Linked DNA regions of Arabidopsis thaliana. The protein of the gene in region 3 interacts with the protein of the main gene of each other region in a pairwise test. Each region holds a gene or a part of one and is shown on either strand. Other genes may lie near its edges.

What was found. Proteins that work in one complex are often made in the same cells at the same time.
Region 1: the proteins of TSL (region 3) and TKI1 interact in binary tests that used the Arabidopsis thaliana proteins (3 or more experiments, as listed by UniProt).
Region 2: the proteins of TSL (region 3) and ASF1B interact in a two-hybrid assay, tested with the Arabidopsis thaliana proteins (one study listed by BioGRID).

The regions. Positions count from the first base shown.
Region 1 is NC_003071.7:15,521,129-15,528,273, forward strand, and holds TKI1 (TSL-kinase interacting protein 1), read left to right. Parts: upstream 1-1,791; 5' UTR 1,792-1,970; intron 1,971-2,340; exon of another isoform or gene 2,341-2,401; 5' UTR 2,402-2,423; coding exon 2,424-2,565; intron 2,566-2,652; coding exon 2,653-2,735; intron 2,736-2,812; coding exon 2,813-2,860; intron 2,861-2,959; coding exon 2,960-3,069; intron 3,070-3,514; coding exon 3,515-3,599; intron 3,600-3,698; coding exon 3,699-3,978; intron 3,979-4,183; coding exon 4,184-4,294; intron 4,295-4,394; coding exon 4,395-4,549; intron 4,550-4,641; coding exon 4,642-4,880; intron 4,881-4,976; coding exon 4,977-5,652; intron 5,653-5,730; coding exon 5,731-5,859; intron 5,860-5,940; coding exon 5,941-6,117; 3' UTR 6,118-6,368; intron 6,369-6,503; 3' UTR 6,504-6,630; downstream 6,631-7,145.
Region 2 is NC_003076.8:15,206,340-15,210,850, reverse strand, and holds ASF1B (anti- silencing function 1b), read right to left. Parts: upstream 2,494-4,511; 5' UTR 2,209-2,493; coding exon 2,100-2,208; intron 1,427-2,099; coding exon 1,311-1,426; intron 1,219-1,310; coding exon 787-1,218; 3' UTR 516-786; downstream 1-515. UniProt on the Arabidopsis thaliana protein: Histone chaperone that facilitates histone deposition and histone exchange and removal during nucleosome assembly and disassembly.
Region 3 is NC_003076.8:7,095,916-7,103,709, forward strand, and holds TSL (Protein kinase superfamily protein), read left to right. Parts: upstream 1-1,952; 5' UTR 1,953-2,297; coding exon 2,298-2,549; intron 2,550-2,806; coding exon 2,807-2,896; intron 2,897-3,035; coding exon 3,036-3,239; intron 3,240-3,509; coding exon 3,510-3,560; intron 3,561-3,757; coding exon 3,758-3,865; intron 3,866-3,974; coding exon 3,975-4,019; intron 4,020-4,676; coding exon 4,677-4,789; intron 4,790-5,099; coding exon 5,100-5,166; intron 5,167-5,262; coding exon 5,263-5,332; intron 5,333-5,458; coding exon 5,459-5,553; intron 5,554-5,646; coding exon 5,647-5,826; intron 5,827-5,906; coding exon 5,907-6,117; intron 6,118-6,201; coding exon 6,202-6,466; intron 6,467-6,563; coding exon 6,564-6,618; intron 6,619-6,695; coding exon 6,696-6,860; intron 6,861-6,959; coding exon 6,960-7,055; 3' UTR 7,056-7,291; downstream 7,292-7,794. Other genes in the region: EIF2 BETA (eukaryotic translation initiation factor 2 beta subunit), read right to left, coding at 1-67, 162-216, 319-374, 466-580, 708-746; CRR42 (DUF3148 family protein), read left to right, coding at 7,533-7,783. UniProt on the Arabidopsis thaliana protein: Required for correct initiation of floral organ primordia and for proper development of organ primordia. Phosphorylates in vitro ASF1B/SGA1, the C-terminal part of TKI1 and histone H3.

The sequences.
Region 1 (7,145 bases), on a different chromosome or scaffold from region 3:
TACGAGCTAATATGAAGATGATCAAGTGCTTGGTTACACAAAACCACCATGTCAAAGATTTTATGCGAAAACCTAAAACACGAGCATGCATGTAGCTCGATTGTTCAACCAGAGAAATCAAACTCGGAGCTATACCGAAATTATGTTCTGATTGGACTAATCGACTTATAGACGCATGTTTTCATATCTAAGTTTTTGATGGCCTTTTTAGTCCATATAAGTTTTTTTAAAATGCAGCATACTAATATTTGAATTCAGACTCTATTTTGATCTAGACCTACTAGGAAAACTCAAACAAATTGAGTTTAGTGATATATTGAGAGGTAAAATACTAAAATGGTCTAACTAATACAACTTACATGTTTAGTAGAACTTAAATTATGCTTTATTTACAAGACTAAAAGAGTAGTTAAACTTGAAATCTTAAACTGTCGCCGTAGAAATAACAATTGGGTCAAGAAAAGTTTTCTAATCCTTATCAAAATAGAAAAGTTTTCTAATATAATAGAAAAAACACCCGTAAGTGGGAAAACATCTTCTACAAACTTAATAAGAAAAGGATATACATATCTCCAATCCACATGCGAATAGTTTTGGGTCAAATCTCTACGCTTCGCGTAACAAATTGAATTTGTCAAACAATTTGAGCATGACATGATGAAAAAAGGCCAGAGTCATGTTAATTCGTCGTATCGTAACTCCGACTTCTGACTTTCTCCATTCTTTTTAACGAAACGATAAGTCAACTTTTAACCGAAAAGGACTACAAGTCAATTTATTCATTAATGCTCTACGTGCATAGGTTATACTTATTGGTTACCCTATAGAAGTTGAACCGTGAGATCAAAAATCATGTTAGATAAACCGGCTCCGTTCTTTGTGACGTTGACATATATTTTTCTTAGGCCAGAGACTATAGCTAGATAAATAACTCCATTCTTGGCTGCTCGTAGGATACGAACCCAAAACTTGGTCATATTTTATCTCAAAAATAAGATCCCAAAAAATATCGACTATTAGAGCTATCGATACCATACGTGTTTCAAAGATGTAAATTTGAACCCCTCTACCTTGAAAGCGTGTATAAGGCTTATTTTCTGAAAAAAAGTGTTAGCTCATCTAACATATACAAAGATTAAAGATTGGATCGTTGACAGAAGAAAAGATTTACAAAAATTTGGATCTTGTGAATTAGTTACTATTGGGCTAAATAAAAGCCCATGTATGTATTTATTGGACCAGACCTAATTTTTGTACCAGGGCCTGAGGACTATATCCAACACAAACCACAATTTCAAATATTATTTTGGCGTTTTAACTTCTAAACGCTTTATCTTTATCATGCGACTTGCCAGATGCCAACCCAAGCCACGTGCATTACGATTCAACTAATTTTTTGTTGTCTTTTTTTCCCCTTTTTAACGAGGCAAAATAGTAGAAATATTTTTCTATTTTCATGAAATTGTAGAAGAAAATAGTAAAATTTCCGAATTTTCCTAATCTATAGTTTCACTTTAGATAAAATAATACTTAGCGTGACGAAGGCAACTGGCTTATTCAACTTTATGTGTTTAATAAAAGATAAAATAAATAATAATTTCGTATATATTTCTCTCCTTTGTTCATAAAATAATTAAAATATTTTTGATTGATTCTTTCGAAAAGTAAAAAAACTCATTTAATTACAAGAATATAATATATGTTAACCCACCATGACAAACATATATTTTGACATCTTAGATAACAAGTAACTAAATTAATTACATTCCTTTTTATTTTATTTTCTTTTTAATTTTATGTGAATGTAAAAAACAAGAAAAAAAATAAAATTTATTTTTCTCTCTCGCTTGGTTCAACCGTGGTTGTTCATCGGAAAAATATCTTCGGCTTCAATTTCGTTCGATTTACCCTAAATTCTCGACTAGTGTTCGTCAATCCCACTTCCAATTCCACATTTCAAACCTTTTCAGGTAATATTTCTCATATTTTTCGTGTTTTTTTTCGGGGTCAAACTTATTTTTTTAAAAATTTCAATTCAAATTTCGAGTTTGTATTTAGTAACCCTAGTTCTTAATTTTTCAATTTTTCGTCTTCCCTTATGAGATTTAGCTTAATTAGGGTATTGAATTAAGTAGAATTGGGTTTTTGTTTTTGTTGTGATCTGGTGAAATTAATTTTAGGGTTTTATTGAAGGTGAAATTTGTTTGTTCTTCGTTATATCTTCGAAATTAGGGTTTTTCAAATTTGTGTCGTGGATGTAAAAATTATGAATTGCCTGTAAAATTTTTCTGTCGGTTGCTAAATTTCTTGTGATTTTAGTTGATGATCGCTATGTAGAGTTTCGCCTTTTTTTTGGGATTTTGAATGTTCATGGTTTAGGATTCATTGCTCTGATTTGTAGGAAGTTGAAATCAAAAGCATGAATGCTTAAACAGTTTACGCATTATTGCGAAATGCAAGCCGAGCTGATACCCGAAGGTCCTAACGGTGAGGGCCGTTTATCAAACCAGAACAGCAACCCTAATTTACTCTCTTCTGCTTCTATCAGTATTACTCAGTTTCCTGGTATGTTGCATTGATTTAAAAGTTGTGCTTGTATGCTTGTTTTGTTAGCTTAGTTGATTTTTTTTAATGGAAATGGCGATGTTGCAGCTAAGAAGCCGACTAGGCAATGGGCTGCTTGGACACATCAAGAAGAGGAAAGTTTCTTCACTGCTCTTCGTCAAGTTGGAAAGGTATCACCTTGACGTTCTTCTTCTCTATGTTGTTAACCTGTTATGTGTGTGAACCTTCTCTTTGTGTTGTTTTGTAGAATTTTGAGAAGATAACTTCTCGTGTTCAGAGCAAAAACAAGGACCAGGTTGGTTGTTTTAGTTTTGTGTTTGTTTTCTTTTCGCTTGCACTTGCTGGTGTTTGCTTTTAGTTTCTGATGGTTGTGGAAACTTCTTGTGATTTGCAGGTCAGGCATTACTATTATCGTTTAGTGAGGCGTATGAACAAACTTTTGGGCCCGGATCTGAGCCTTGATGCCAAGAACCCAAAGGACACCAATGCTGCAATGCTACGATGGTACTTGATTTATACATTTCTTTTCTGTTATGCTTTGTGCTGGTATGGTAGATTGTTACGTTATCGTAAACAAATGATGAATATCACTCTCCGGGTATTTTTCTAGATAACAAGTTATAGCATGTTATGATACTATGAGTATTATTAAGTAGGCATGGTCACATTCATTTAAGGGTTCCATTTGCGTAAAGTAATTTCTGTAGTATAGCTATGCATTTCCTGCTAGTGACAATATAATGTTAAGGTAAGGTTTTTTGTTTTTTTCATGTGCTTTGATAATATCTGCCAGGAACCTCATACATGATCAGATAGTAGCAACTGACTTATATTTCAGACATCATAGCTTCTTCCATTCTCCTAGATGACATGATTTCACATATCATGATCTTAATTATCACTCAGCTCGTCTGACTAAAGTAAACATGCTTTTTCATGTGTCTTGCAGGTGGTCTTTGCTTGAAAAGTATAGCTGCAAAGCTTCAAAACTTCATCTCAAGCCCCGGAGATTCAAACTATTTATAGAGGCCTTGGTTAGTTGGCAAATGCGAATTTCGTTTAACCCAAAACCACCTTGGATTTGACAAGGAATCGTTTACAAACTATTGTCTAACAAAACCTTTTGCATGAAGGAACACCAATTGCTGAAAGACCGCAGAAAGAGCATAAGAAAACGGACTTGCCAGGGAGAAAATCTCTCTTCTGCTTCCCTCGGAAACATCTCAAGTCATAGTAGAGAAAGAGGATTGGATAACCGTCCATTTAAACTTATTCTCTCCGACGGCCAAAATGTTAAAAAGCTAGGGCCTGGAAGAGCATCTACCAAACATGGTGAAAGCTTAAGTGTCAACCTTGGTGACGAAAAAGAAGACACAGCCTTTGGGAGAGGTGGAAGGCAACGGCGAAAACAAGGTTCTTTCTTTACTAGTTTTTATGCATGTTTGTTAGATAGGCAGTTTTCTTCAGCCCCATATTGTGTGTGTTTTCAGTGTTCACACAAATTTGGACATTATCTGCTTTTAATCTTCCATGTTGATATTAGATTTTATGTTGCTATTTAAAAGCTTGATGTAGTTCCAGGTTCTTACGTGACTCTAAGCATCTCTTCCTTTTTCAGCAGGTTATAGAAAATGGGAAAAAGCTGCAATAGATGGGGTCTCTCTGGTTGCTGATGCTGCAGAGCATTTGGAACGAACATCAATTGACAAAGATATGGATGATCAAACAGGTTTACTTACTAGTATTGGATGATAGTTCCTTTTCTTAGATATATGTTTTTTGAGGACTAACATGTGCAAATTCTAAATCAGATTCTCTTTTTATCTTAGATTTAGGTCCCACAAGATATTTAACCGGAAAGTCTCCACTTTCTCTATGCTCAGCTGGTGATGTTCCTCTCAGTGATGCCAATATGCAGTTTTCTGCCAAGCTTAAACTTCAGCTGTTCCCGATTGATGAATGTACTCGAAGATCCTTGGAAATGGTAAGCTTCAAATAGGAATTATACTGATTGGAGCAATAATTTTCTGAGACATGAAATGGAGCTTGATCTGTTAACACTTAACACTTTAACAGGATAAGCACAATCCGCATCTTGAACTTACTCTTAGTAATCGCAAGAAGATATCATCTGTACTTGAACATCTCAATCGCAAATGGGGAAGCTCAAGTTGTGCGACTGGAGAGCTATTGCTATTTCCTTACAACGCACGAAAAGAAACTGTAACGTGCCATCAGAGGTGGACCCATGACTCTTTTCTAAGCGCAGCAGAAGTGCATTCAATGGTCGGAAGTCCTTCGGTTTTCCGCTTAAGGTTTGCTCTCATATTTTCCTAGTCTCTTGCAGGTTTCTTCTCGTCAAATTGTCATACAAGATAAACCAAAATTAATTTACTTATATGTATTTGCAGGTATGGTTGGTTTGTCCATGATGCGTCAGGTTCTATTATTTCTCAAGTTCCAACTTCAGATCCTTGCCCTTCACTCGAGGATGACATGAATGTGGATAGGTTGAACGAGGTCAACATGCTCCTTACTGAATCAGGACCCTTGTCTGTGCATTCAACTGCTGAACAAACGACATCTGTAGAGCCCAGTCAGGGTCTAGTATGTGCATCTGGTGTCCATGATCGTCCCGCAAGATCTAGAGATGATTATGAACCTGCTTCAACGAGTATTACTCCACTTGAGCATTTGAGCGGCGGTAATGCACAATCACCAGGAGAATGGGCTGATAGTCTTACTAACATAAGTATAGGTGATCTACTTTCTGAAGTGCCCGATGACATAGATAGTGATGGTGTTGATCCACCTGCCACCGAAGGTTCACATTACCTCCTTCGAGATGTCCCATTTACCTCTGACTCTTTTGATGCTGCAATTGCTGCTCATATACTAAGACACCAGAACAAGCCAAGTGCTCAACTACCGCTGACTTCTGGCTCTTCCTCTCTGTGGGATGATGAAGAAACACGTGATGCCTTCTCTTTCCAAAAAAATCGTTTCGCAAATTCCACCGAGCTGGCTAGTGTTGCTTCTCCTAAAGGTGTTGGCAGAGTAAATGGAGAGCCTTCACAGTTGGTGGAGGTAACTATATCAGCCTCAAATTCCACTTCCCTCAATTGTTTACAAAACTAAACCATCTGATTCAATACTTTCTCTTAGGCTTCATCCGGCGATGAGGGATCTTATAACCCTCATGACGATGGAGATCCAATGGAAGAGGGTCCAGCAGACCCTCATACGATGGATTCTCCAGGGAAGACCCCTTGTGGACTTGCGGATGTATACTGGGTAAATTTAGAAATCTCATATATTTCCCCAATGTAAAAAAGTCATATATATTCAACAACAACACATGTTTCCTCTTTGCAGCCCGACTCGTTAGGACCACTGGATTTAGACATTAGATCGTCAAAGTATACAGATGATTTGATCCTTAGTGAGAGCCTCGGGGGATTGAGCCGTCTGATAGCAACCAGCCTTGATGCGTTTCAGAACTGCTCGCTCTTTGGGTTCGACAATAAGAAGGACAAGTCTAACATGGTATGAAATGGAACCAAAGCTAAAGCATGGGGTCCAAATGTTGATAGTTGAAAAAGAAAGTGACTTCTTGCCTTTTGAAAAAAGAAACTTTTATCACCAACTGATAGCTTCACTGTACAAAAATTTGATGTAACCTTTTACTCTTCCTTTCACACATTCTTTTGTGTTGATACATGTTTCTCTGTGTACACTTTTACTGTTAATTTACATGTTTATTTGGCTACCATGCCTTCTTTCTTTTTTTTTTCTTTTTTTTTGTTCTTTTGTTTATAGAAGTTTCATGACAAATAAGAATTTCAATTAATATTCTTAAGTTCTTTTAAGAGTGCGAGTAAAAGAACAATCGTAGGACGCAAAATTTAACTCGCTCATTCAAGAGTAGTGTTGATAAGTCCTTTTTTTTTTCATTTCAATATTCTACCCGAAAAAGATTCCAAACTTCTACTTTTCTACACTTGATCACCACTATAATCGAAGATTTATGAACAATAGACTCTTTAATAAAGTAAATAAATCATTTAAAACTAAGTTTGTTTGTTGTCTTGATCATATGTGTTCAAATTGGTTTTCTCTTCTATTCTCTACATTAAAACATCCTCCAACATTCAGTTTTCTCACTCTCAATGAACCAGTAATACACACCCTAGGTGCACTAGATTTCATTCAAAACTAAATCTGGTTCACTAAACCAAACCATATTGATTTTCAGGAGGAAAACCACTTTTTTTAGTGTGTAGTACGAGTAAGTTTACACCCTGAGATGCAGGGTTTTTTCTTTGTCTTTTGCTAAGTGCGTGAGATGCAGTTTTACCCCTAGTTAGAGGAAAACAATGAATTTGTGTAATTTTAACATTTTCTTGTTATGAGGAATATGCTCTGAATAATGAGAACCATACAAGATACAACAATGACATAAGCCAAGTTGTCATAAAAGGCCAAATGTGCTTTAATGTGTGATACACCGCTTTACACTGGCCTACTCTTTCACTTCACGTCAAGTTCGTAAACGAAGAGACAATCTCTACGTGCCCTCC
Region 2 (4,511 bases), 8.1 Mb from region 3:
AAGTACAAAGTGATTTTCTTTGAACCTCTATATGGACAACAATAGTAGTATAATAACATTGTATTATAGTGTACATATGGATGAATATAGGTCGACCATTAAGCATTTTTCAACTATATTCTAGTTCCTTAAAAGTTTATAAATACTTTTGTTAGACTGGAAATTTCTTGATGGAAGTGTTTCCTAGCTAATAACCGTTAAGATTTCAAAAACATTAAACTAAAAAGCATTTGATTGTTTGTAGCTTAATATTTGATGTATTTGCTATGTATTGTATTATGGCTTTGATTGTGCAGTGAAATTATCTTGGTGGAAACTGATTGGGAAGAAAAACTAAGTTGAAAGACAGAATAAATCAGAAGAACAACTCACCCATAGACCATGTTTTTAAATGTGATGCTTGTGAGAAAATTGTTGAAATGGATTGTCTTACCTTTAAATTTTGAAAAATTCTTTAAACGTGGACTAAACGAAAGTTTTATGGGTCACTAAGCCATACCTAATTTTGAGAATAAGTGCATTTCTTAAACAACTATCTTCAAGTGAATTGTTAGTGTTTGCAATGATCTGCTTGCATTAGCCACTAGGATAACAAGAAGAATGGGAACTAAGAACTCTGAACATAGCACAGTATAGGGATGTTGCAAGAAGAACTTAAATTTCTACAAACAGTAACACAACTGGAGTTCAAGTTCCAGATAAAAGAAACAAAAATACAAATCTTTCGATTAGAATTGAGATGATAGTTCTAATCCAGTTTCCAGTTAAGCTTGAGTCAAACAAGAATCATGTCTCCTGGAGATTTTGTGGCTGATCAAGCAACGCTATAGCTTCTCCATTTACATCAGAATCATCAAATTGTTCTATCTCCTGAAGCTTTTGTGGCTGCTCAAGAAACACCGGAGCTTCTCCATTTACAACAGAATCAGCAAATGGTTCAGTAGGTGCAGGCCCATCACCAAGAGTCTGCTCATTCTCAGGATGAAAGTTGATAGGGAACTTAGTTACTCTAGGTTTGTCTGTGAGTATGTTCCTTTGGACCTTATCAATCAAAACCTTGGTAGGAGGCTCTTCCCTGAGCTGTTCATCATCATAGTCATTGTTCACATAATAGCCAACTCTTATAAACTCTTGATCCATGTATGAGCAAGTCAACAATAACACAGTAACACCAATAATATCTTCCTCACGAATCTTTAACGGATCTGGAGAGTCAGCCTATCATTTAATCAAACAAAAAGTTTAGACTAAGATTATGTACCTAAACCACCAGAAACAAAGAGAGAAGAATAAAACTAATCATACACTACCTGCAACACAAATCGATAGTTCCCAACGTTAACAGGACCAACAAGAACACTTTCCAAAACTTGATCATACGTTTCGTCTTCAGCTGACCCTACGTATATAAGCTTCCATTCCAAATCTGTAGCAAAACCAAAGAAACGTTATCTCACACATCAGGCTTACCAGAATGTGATCATGACTAGAAATCACGAAAATTTACAAAGCACAGAAACTTAACCAGTTGGTATAGGCAAAACGGTTTTACGCTTTTATTGCAGAAGGATAAGCAACACACACATAATGATATCTAGAACAATAATTCTCTGCCATGATCAAGAACCGATAACTTGCAACTAGTAATGTGTGAAATTACAGTACATAGCCACTGAGCCAGAGGTCAAATCTCATTTGAGAGCCAACACATCCGAAAGATAAGCCATACAAAATAACCATTCACAGTAAACAATCCTCATAGAGCAAAGACAAGGCTCCTAAATACCACAACTACAATGTTGAATACGAACAATTGCAGACATATAACCAACTTCTAAGCCAAAGAGAGTACACTAAGCTCGAGACAGATCGTGTGTGAGCTCATACAAATGCAAGAAAACCCTAACACAGTGAAGTCAATTAGCTACAAATCATACTTTAAAACCCCAAAAATTGAATCTTTTGTAGCATTATTCACATATCCAATCACAGGTTCTTCATTCTTCAATCGGTTCCGAAGAATATAATAACAAAATCGAAAATAAATCAACATAGTATCAATTTTCGAAAGATAGAGGATCAGGGAAAGTAAAAGGTACCGTCTTTGAGAGAGGTCAAGCATTCGTAAGAAATCTCGAACTGGAATGGATTCACAAACGGAGCAGGATTGTCCAAGACGGTGACGTTAGTGATATTGATAGAGCTCATAACGATTTAAATTGGGAAAACTCAAGGACTCGATTTTAGTTTGAAACCCTAGATTCTCGAAATTTCAAAGAAATCTAGAGAGACCCAGGTTAGGGTTCTCGAGATTTCTCTGTAAACAGTGAAATCGCCGGCGCGAGAAGAATGGTGGTCGGTCAGATTCAGAGACGGTTCGTGGTTAGAGCGATTTCAATTTGCCAGTTATTGGGTGGTTTTTTTTTAACCGGTTGGTATAAGGCTAATAACCGGTAGTTACCGGTCAACTATATTGGCGGGAGAGCTTTAAAACCTCAATTAGAAGAGGGAAATATAAAAGGAATTGAAATCGAGGCCATTTTAACTAATAATACTTAAGTTTTAAGGCCCATGGGCTAAATTTAGATTTAGTTAAAAGTTTTCACTTAACAATTAATTGACAATATTGTATGTGTAACTGTTGAATAGAGTAAAAATATAATTAGAATAATGTGTAATATTATACCAGTATAAAGATTTAGTGAAAACAAAAGTAGAATTTTAAAAAAGTAAAATTTTCAATTCATAGTAGTAACAATTTTTCATTAGAAGAGACCAAAGGAAAAGAAATTGAAATCAAAGAATACTTTGGTTCATTTCTACTAATGTTATTCACTCTTTTGTTTCAGCCAATCGGAATATGCCAGCTAATAAATGAATAAAAAAACATTTAACTATAAAATCTATAAAATGTAAAATCCAACCACTCTTCTATTAATCCAAACTGATATATATAATTTCGTTTAATTACAAAATCTAACTTTACTTCTCCTTTGTAAACTCCAAACCGATACTTAAACTTGTTAAAATGTAAAATCTAAACCCTAACAATTTTTTCTAAACCTAAACCAATATTTAACCTCGTTTAATTATAAAATCTAAATGTTTATAAACTCAAACAGAGATTTCACTTTGTTTAATCATAAAATCTAAACCCTAACTCTTTTTTGTCAACTCAAAACTGATATAAAAGTTCATTTTTGAGGTGGATTAAACTTTATAACTTAAATGAATTCAATTTTATTTTAGTAAGTAGCAGATTTTGATTAGGCAGATTTACAAAACTATCCTTTTTTTACTACCTTTTTGTAATAATACCCTTTTATATTATTCATTTTTAAAAATATCTCTTCCCTTGAACAGAATGACCAAATTACCCTCATCTAATAAGAACATGTAATTGGAAACTGATAGTTTCCCGCCAAATTTTTGGCGCCAAAAATTATTTTTCCCGCCAAAAAACATTTCTGCCAAACTTTTTTTCCCACCAAAAAAAAAAATCCCGCCAAAAAAAATTTTCCCGCCAAATTTTTTTCTCGTAAATTTTTTTTCCCAGCCAAAAAAATGCTTTTAAAAATCCTTGTAAATTTTTTAAAAACTCTTTTAAAAAACCTTGTAAAGTTTTTTAAAAACTCTTTTAAAAAACTTTACAAGGTTTTTTAAAAGCTTTGGTAGTTGCTAAAAACCCTTGTAAATCATTTTAAAACCTCTTAAAATATTTATAAAGTCTTTAAAAACATAGGTAAATACTTTAAAACCCCTTTTTAAACCTTTGTAAATCATTTTAAAACTTTTTACAATAGTTTTACAAGATTTACAATCGTTTTTTAAGCATAAGTAAGTGGCATTGAATGATTTACAAGGGATGTTAAAAGCTTATTAAAGGGTAAAACATGATTTACAATCGTTTTAAAGCATAAGTAAGTGACATAGAATGATTTATAAGGGATTTAAAAAGGGTTAGCATGGTTTACAATCGTTTTGTAGCATAAGTAAGTGGCATTGAATGATTTACAAGGGATTTGAAAAGCTTATAAAAGGGTAAAACATGATTTACAATCGTTTTTAAAGCATAAGTAAGTGGCATAGAATGATTTACAAAGATTTTTAAAAAGGGTTAGCATGGTTTACAATGTTTTTTTAAGTATAAGTAAGTGGTATTGGAATTATTTACAAGGGATTTTAAAAGCTTATAAAAGGGTAAAACATGATTTACAATCGTTTTTAAAGCATAAGTAAGTGGCATAGAATGATTTACAAGGGATTTTAAAAGTGTTTGTATGATTTACAATCGTTTTAAAGCATAAGTAAGTGACATTGAATGATTTACAAGGGATTTTAAAAGGGGTTAACATGATTTACAATCGTTTTTAAAGCATAAGTAAGTGTCAAAGAATGATTTACAAGAGATTTTAAAAAAGGTTTGCATGGTTTACAATCGTTTTTAAAAGATAAGTAAGTGGTATATAATGATTTACAAGGATTTTAAAAGCTTATAAAAGGGTAAAACA
Region 3 (7,794 bases):
CCCTCCCAGGGGTAACGTTGCTGTAGAACTATTCCTTCTTCCCCCTCTTGCTCGTCATTAGCAATCTCTGCAATATATTCTCAGTAAGATTCAAACAGGATAAAAACCCCGCCAAGAGAAAAGGTATATTAGCAAACAAAAAAAAAGGATATTAAAAGTACCATCCAAATCTTCCCCAGCATCAACACTTTCGTTGTTCAATAAGCTTGATTCAGTCTAAATATCAAACAAGAACAAATGTGAGTCACAGAATCATCAAACACACAAGTTTAATGACATAAAAAAAATACTAGGCACAAAACGTAAAACAATACTCACTGGCTTCTTCTTCTTTTTCTTCATTCCAGTAAATGAACTCTCAAGACCATCATTAACTGCAAAAACAAGGAATTAGACAAAGTAACACAAAAGACCATTGAAACAAAAAAAATGTTTCACATCACATTGACTCTTCATCATACATACCAGGCAATGAATCAGATTTCTCAGTCTGTGAAGACTCTGCTAAGTCCTCGACAGGTTCCTGAATCACAACCTTCTTCTTCTTTTTCTTCTTGGAAGGATCAAAGGGTGCGAGCTGCTGTAAAAGGATGAACCAAAACATAAAAACCATTCAATCATGAGTTCATCAAACAAAACAAAAAAAAAAATCTATATGGCTAACTTGAGCCCTATCATTAAGAAACAGAGAAAAAAAACAAACTTACTTCTTGCTCTTCCCTTATCTCATTGATTTCATCAGCCATGATTGCAACTGAGATACAAAACGAAAACACACAATGATAATAAGACCTCAGAAACCAAACATATACATATTAGAATCAACATAATCTGTAACAACGATGAGCATAGGCAAGTCCGAAATTAGGGTTTCTAAATCAGAGAGGTAATTCGGAACGCAACAAAACCATAACGAGATTCAGAACAACTTTTCGATTCCCAATAAAAAAAATACCCAAATAAAATGTACGACAAGGCTTCAAATCAGAAACGGAACAGCTAGGTTTACCAATCTGTTTATACTCAATTCTTCCAAAAACACGATTTACTCTGAGATCGACCAGAAGAATTCGAAAAGGAATCGAAGAAAACTCACAAAGGGATGTCTAAGCGCTGAAATTGGCGTAGAGAGTAAACGAGGTTGCTTCGGGAGGAATCTGAGAGAGAGTAAGCGGCGCAGGGGTTGTTTTAATCTGAGATAAGAGTTAACCCTTGCTCCTCCAAAAAAATAGTCCATCTCGAATTGTAACTTTTTTTTTTAATTCAATAGTAAAAGGTCTCTGTAAATATTTCATTTTGCCTAAACCTTAATATTACATTTTTACTTTTTTCTTTTTCTTAACGCATGTTACATTTTAATTTTATCTATTAATTGACACTGAGATTCTCATTTATTATTTTATTTGTCTTAATTAATTAATCAATTGAAATTTTATCAAATCAATTTTTTTTTTTTCAAATTAAGATTTATTTCTTATTAAATTCTGTGAATAGTAAATTATATAAAAATGTTATTAAATATAAATGAAACTAGTAAAGAAAGAAATCAGAATATATTTAGTGTCAAAATTAATAGTCTAGCATATCTTATTTTACTATAAATTACTAAATTATATTATTTTATTATTTAATATATTAAGTATTTTAGTTTGTTAGATATTCAGTAACAAAATTTCCGCAAATGCATTAATTTTCAACCGCTAAATTAATCGTTCAAATTGTTTAATAACGCTTGAGACGGCAACCGCCTACTTCCGCAAATTCATATAGTCATAATCGGATTTTAGCGTTTAAACCACGAGTCTGGCCTTAGATCAAAGAAAACCCTACTTATAGTCAACCCTAATCCATGATACCAAATGGAGAAAAAAAAAGAAAGAAAAAATGGAAATTTCCCAAATTAACACACCCATAACTCAAACTTGTCTCAAACCTCAGATTATATAATTAGGCTAAAATCTGATAAACCAAAAAATGTATCAGAGTGAGTGCTAAAGAGAACTTTGTGTTGACCTCTCTTTCCCTCCTAATTCCTTAGGGTTCCTCGATTTTTCTTTTTCACCGAAACAAAAACCTTATTCCTCCTTCTCTTTCTCTGTCTATCTTTCTCTGTACGTTTTATTCACTTTCCTCCACGTGGATTTGCATAAAAGCATGAAAATTTGTTGATGGGTTTCTCTTCGACATCCAGATTCTAGCTTCCAATTCCGTAATTCTCCGTTAAAAAACCCTAATTTCTCGAATTTACTCTGATCTGTGTAGAAATTAGGGAGTGAAGTGTCCGCAAGTGTTTGGCAATGTCGGATGACATGGTTTTGCATTTCTCCTCGAATTCTTCTAATCAGTCGGATCACTCTTTACCCGACAAAATCGCCAAGCTTGAGGCCCGCTTGACTGGTAAGACCCCTTCCTCGGCCAAGCCACCACAACAACAACAACAGCAGCAGCAGCAGGTCTCTCTCTGGTCATCTGCTTCTGCCGCTGTCAAAGTCGTCACTTCCACACCGCCGGGATTGTCCGAAACCTCTATCAGTGATTCAGACGACGAGGTAGCTTCCGATGTTTGTTTCAAATTCTTTTGTTTATGTCTATGCTATGATTCTTGTGAGTCTAAGGGTCGTTGCTAATTGAATTGTTGATGTCCCTATCCTCCTTGTATTGATCAGTTTGTGCCTAAAGATTGATCAAAGTTGTATGCAATGCTGGCTACATATCCTGGCATTGCAGATGCATCTATATTTCTTTCTTGAACAAGAAATACAGTCTCTTTTTTAGCTAGATCTCATTCTCCTTGTTACTGTCTCAGAATACTGGAGATTTCCTAATCCGAGCAAATACAAAAAAGCGCCAGAAAGTTCAAGAATCTAACAACTTCAGTGTTGTTGATCATGTTGAGGTATTGATTTTTCATAAAGAGTTTTCTTTTAGTCTCTTATCGGGTTGATGTTTTTTATATCAAATATTGGTGTATGATGTAAGTTTTGTCTCCTAGTATTTCTCATCAACTTATAATGAAGAATATTGTTGAATTGAAGCCACAAGAGGCAGCATATGATGGAAGGAAAAATGATGCTGAGTCCAAGACAGGCCTTGATGTAAGTAAGAAGAAACAAGGTCGAGGTCGGGCTTCGTCAACAGGTAGAGGGCGTGGTTCTAAAACTAATAACGATGTGACAAAATCTCAGTTTGTGGTTGCACCAGTATCAGCTGCCAGTCAACTGGATGCCTCTGATCAAAAGGTTAGTATTGTTTACCTCATCGGACCTTACATGGAACCACTCTTCTCATCATCGAGGATTTACATATATGAGACTTAATTTCGTTGACAAACGTGGACACAAATTATATGTTTTCCTGAAGTAAAACCTTTTAATTGGCCTGTATGAAAAAATTAAGCAGGACAAGAAAGAATTACTATGCCTTTTCCTACCTTTTTTTTTGCTGTTTGCATTGATGTTGATGACCAGACGCAGTTTATCAATGAATATTTTCTGCATTTTATTCTCCAGGATTTTAGGCCTGATGGACAGCTCAGGAATGGTGAATGCTCTCTCCAGGATGTAAGTTTCTCCTATAATGTCTTTTACTCTGTAATATTGGAGAATATGTTTGTGTCTCATCGTCTAGGACTAAGCTGCATGTTCTAAGTTGGTTAGAATAAGTGAACGGGATTATTATATATGATTATCCTACAACAATGAAACTGTACAATTATATCTTTCTTTATTCACTATTTTGTTCCTTGTTTATAAATCAGGAAGACTTAAAATCTTTGCGTGCAAAAATCGCTATGCTGGAGGAGGAATTGCGTAAATCTCGACAAGATTCTTCTGAGTATCACCACCTTGTCAGGAATCTTGAGAATGTATTGTGTGAATGCCTTTCAGATTTAGCTATTTGTGCCTATGCTATTACCATTTTTATCTATTCCCATTCCCCTGCTCTGCTTATAATCCTAGTAATGATATATGCAGGAGGTAAAAGATCTGAAAGATCAGGAACAACAAGGGAAGCAAAAGGTACGCAAACTTTTGTTTCCGTGTCTTAATAGATTATTGAGAATTTTTATGTTCTTTTATAAAATTTTGCACCTACTATGGCATGGTTACTTTTAATATTCTCAATGATTTTGGGAGAATCTTAGAGTTAAACATTTTTCTCCATAAGAAGCATGGTAGTTCTATCCCGAGAAAGTTAAATCAATAGACAGTCTCCTGATTTGCTTAGAATGCTCAGTAAATTTATTGATGGTGCTGCTGCTAAATAACTGAAATATCTGTGAAAGCTTGGATCTTGCAATTGTCTACGTTACCTATAGTACTCCATTTCCAGTGAGCTCTTTTCGTAAAGCATTTAGTAGTATTTCTTTAGGTAATAATTAATAGGCAATCTATTGCGGAGAAGGCGATTTAGGTGCATTGAATGTGGAACCAAATTGTAACGAACTGGGTATCTTCATATCAACTTGGTACTTAAATTGGCAGAAACTTTTGCAAACCCTGTAGCACTATTACTGTTAGTGTAATGAAGAAATTTATCAAATGTTTTGTGGCTGCTTCTCTCTGATATTCTTAATAACTCTTACATACTTATGGAAATCATGCGGAATTATTTGGTCTAAGCTAACAGTGCACTTGCTAACAGCAAGCTTTGAACCTTTCTTTTTCTTCACGCAGACAACTAAAGTAATCTCGGACCTTCTCATATCTGTTTCCAAAACTGAGAGACAAGAAGCAAGAACGAAAGTCAGAAATGAATCTTTGCGATTAGGCAGTGTTGGTGTTCTCAGGTCTGCCATAATATATTTATAATTTTATATGAGTTCTTAGTATTTATCCAATATATCATTCATTTCTGTGATCATTTACACAAGGTTTGAAATTATATTTCACAGAGAGGTATAATAAAACATGTATAGCAAATACAAATTTGCTTTATAGTAAAATCTTTAAACAAACTCGAATAGAGTTTTAGATAGAAGTTGCTTTCACATTTCTCAATAATTGCAGCTCTCTTCTTTGCTAAGTTACAAGGTTAGTTCTTGATTTTGTGATCAAAATTTAATACATATGCTTGTGTGTGTTTTTTGGTGATTTCAGGACAGGAACGATCATAGCTGAGACATGGGAGGACGGACAAATGTTGAAAGATCTGAATGCTCAACTTGTAAGTTAAGCTGTGTAGCGAGGGATTTTTATCAAACTAATACCAATAAGCTTTGAAGTAACTGTACTGATTTTTCTATAAATTTGCAACGAAAAGAGACAATTGCTGGAAACCAAGGAGGCTATTGAGAGACAAAGAAAGTTACTTAAGAAACGACAAAATGGTGGTATGTTATCCCAGTATTTTTTTGTTTGTCAGTGAATCCGCAATCTCCTGTAATATATCTTGTGATTTTTTCCTTGGGCAAATTGTTATGATGTTTGGCACCCTTGGTTTTTCCATTTGGGTGTAGATAAGAATGACGGAACCGACACAGAATCAGGAGCACAGGAGGAAGATATCATCCCTGACGAGGTTTACAAGTCTCGTCTTACTAGTATTAAGCGGGTATGTTCTTTATGCATCATCTCAGCTTCTTGTTTCCTATAAGTTGATTCGGTTCTGGTTACGTATCATACATTTATTGGTTTTACCTTTCAGGAAGAGGAAGCTGTTTTGCGTGAGAGAGAAAGGTACACATTAGAGAAGGGGCTACTTATGAGGGAGATGAAACGCATACGAGATGAAGATGGTTCTCGTTTCAACCATTTCCCAGTTTTGAATAGCCGCTATGCTCTTCTAAATCTTCTTGGTAAAGGCGGATTTAGTGAAGTCTATAAGGTCAGAACATTGATAGATACTACATTCTTTTACATGTGAGAATTATTTTGCAGTAATATGATGTTATGGATTTTAAGCAGGCATATGATTTGGTGGACCATAGATATGTTGCGTGCAAGCTTCATGGTTTAAATGCTCAGTGGAGTGAAGAAAAGAAGCAAAGTTACATCCGCCATGCCAACAGGGAATGTGAGATCCATAAAAGTCTTGTGCATCACCACATTGTTCGGCTTTGGGATAAATTTCATATCGACATGCATACATTCTGCACCGTTCTGGAATATTGTAGTGGTAAATCAGAATTCTCCTATTCCTTTGTAGATCCTGGAGTACAGTTCTGAGTTCTCACTCTTATGTTTTGAATTTCTAATGCAGGGAAAGACCTTGATGCTGTATTAAAGGCAACATCTAATCTTCCTGAGAAAGAAGCAAGGATTATCATTGTGCAAATAGTTCAAGGCCTTGTATATCTGAACAAAAAGTCACAGAAGATAATCCACTATGATCTGAAGCCTGGTAATGTTCTCTTTGATGAGTTTGGAGTAGCAAAAGTAACTGATTTTGGTCTAAGCAAGATAGTGGAGGACAATGTTGGTTCTCAAGGAATGGAGCTTACATCACAGGGAGCTGGAACATACTGGTGAGCAATCTAGTTTTTGTCTCCTTGATATGGTCTATATTATTTTTGTCTCTTCTACTTCCGGACATCTTATAGCTAACAAGGTTCTATAATATAGGTACTTGCCCCCAGAATGCTTTGAGCTTAACAAAACTCCTATGATCTCATCAAAGGTCAGTGATTGGTCAATGATGTCATAATCTGATTATCTTATAGAAGTTTTGTGGTACTAAATTGTGTTGAAACTCAGGTTGATGTATGGTCAGTTGGTGTTCTGTTTTACCAAATGCTGTTTGGAAAGCGACCTTTTGGACATGACCAAAGCCAAGAACGGATACTAAGAGAAGACACAATCATTAAAGCCAAAAAGGTTGAGTTCCCAGTAACAAGACCTGCCATCTCAAATGAAGCGAAGGTAAATTAACTGTACCGGTCTTAAACATGGTTTAAGTAAAGTAGTACCAAATAGTCATGAAACTGTCTCTCCATGTTCTCACTTTTGCATTTTCTGCAGGATTTGATTCGACGGTGTCTAACATATAACCAAGAAGATAGGCCGGATGTTCTAACAATGGCACAGGATCCATATCTTGCCTACTCTAAGAAGTGAGATTGTGTAGTCTTCAAAAACAAACCAGAGATGCTAAAAGACCAGATCCTAGAATATTTTTTGGTATAGCTTATAAAGTTTCTGTTTTGTTTGTCTAAATATTTTATCTCCCGGCCCCTTGAACCATATTAATTTCGGGTGAAGTTAATGTGTCTTGTCTTCCTTTTATTATGTAACATGTTATGTATATTCTTCATGTTTTATAATAGAAGAAAGCTGAAAGTTGGAAACAGGCCCCAAATCGTTCTTGCTTCTCAGGTTTAAGACAATATGAAATGTGATCAATTGAAGAAATAAGAAATATAACAAATCCGGCTGGAGAATACTGGACTGGAACTGAACTAAACCGAAGAGTAAACCAAGACAAAACCGAAGATTGAAAATCATTGGCTTGCTAGTAAACTACTACGAGACAAAAGTCTACTTATCCCCCCACTCATACCACTAAAAAACTCACACTTGCTGGCTTCTTCTTCCATGGCTTTATCTTTTGTTTCTTCAACTAGATTCTCCAAGATGCAATATGGCATATGGCACAGTGGATCCTTCACGCAACGAGTCAGTGTGAGATGCTGTGAAATCGCAAACGAGGCTCCACGACCAAAATCGAAGCTCCAAGTAGGATCACCGATCATCATCGTCGAAGCTCCCAAAGTTATAAAAACGGCCGCTTCAATGCCTTGCCTTAGGGCCAACTCTGGCTTGGTCAAGCCTGGCGATGTTGGAAGGTCTTCTTCTT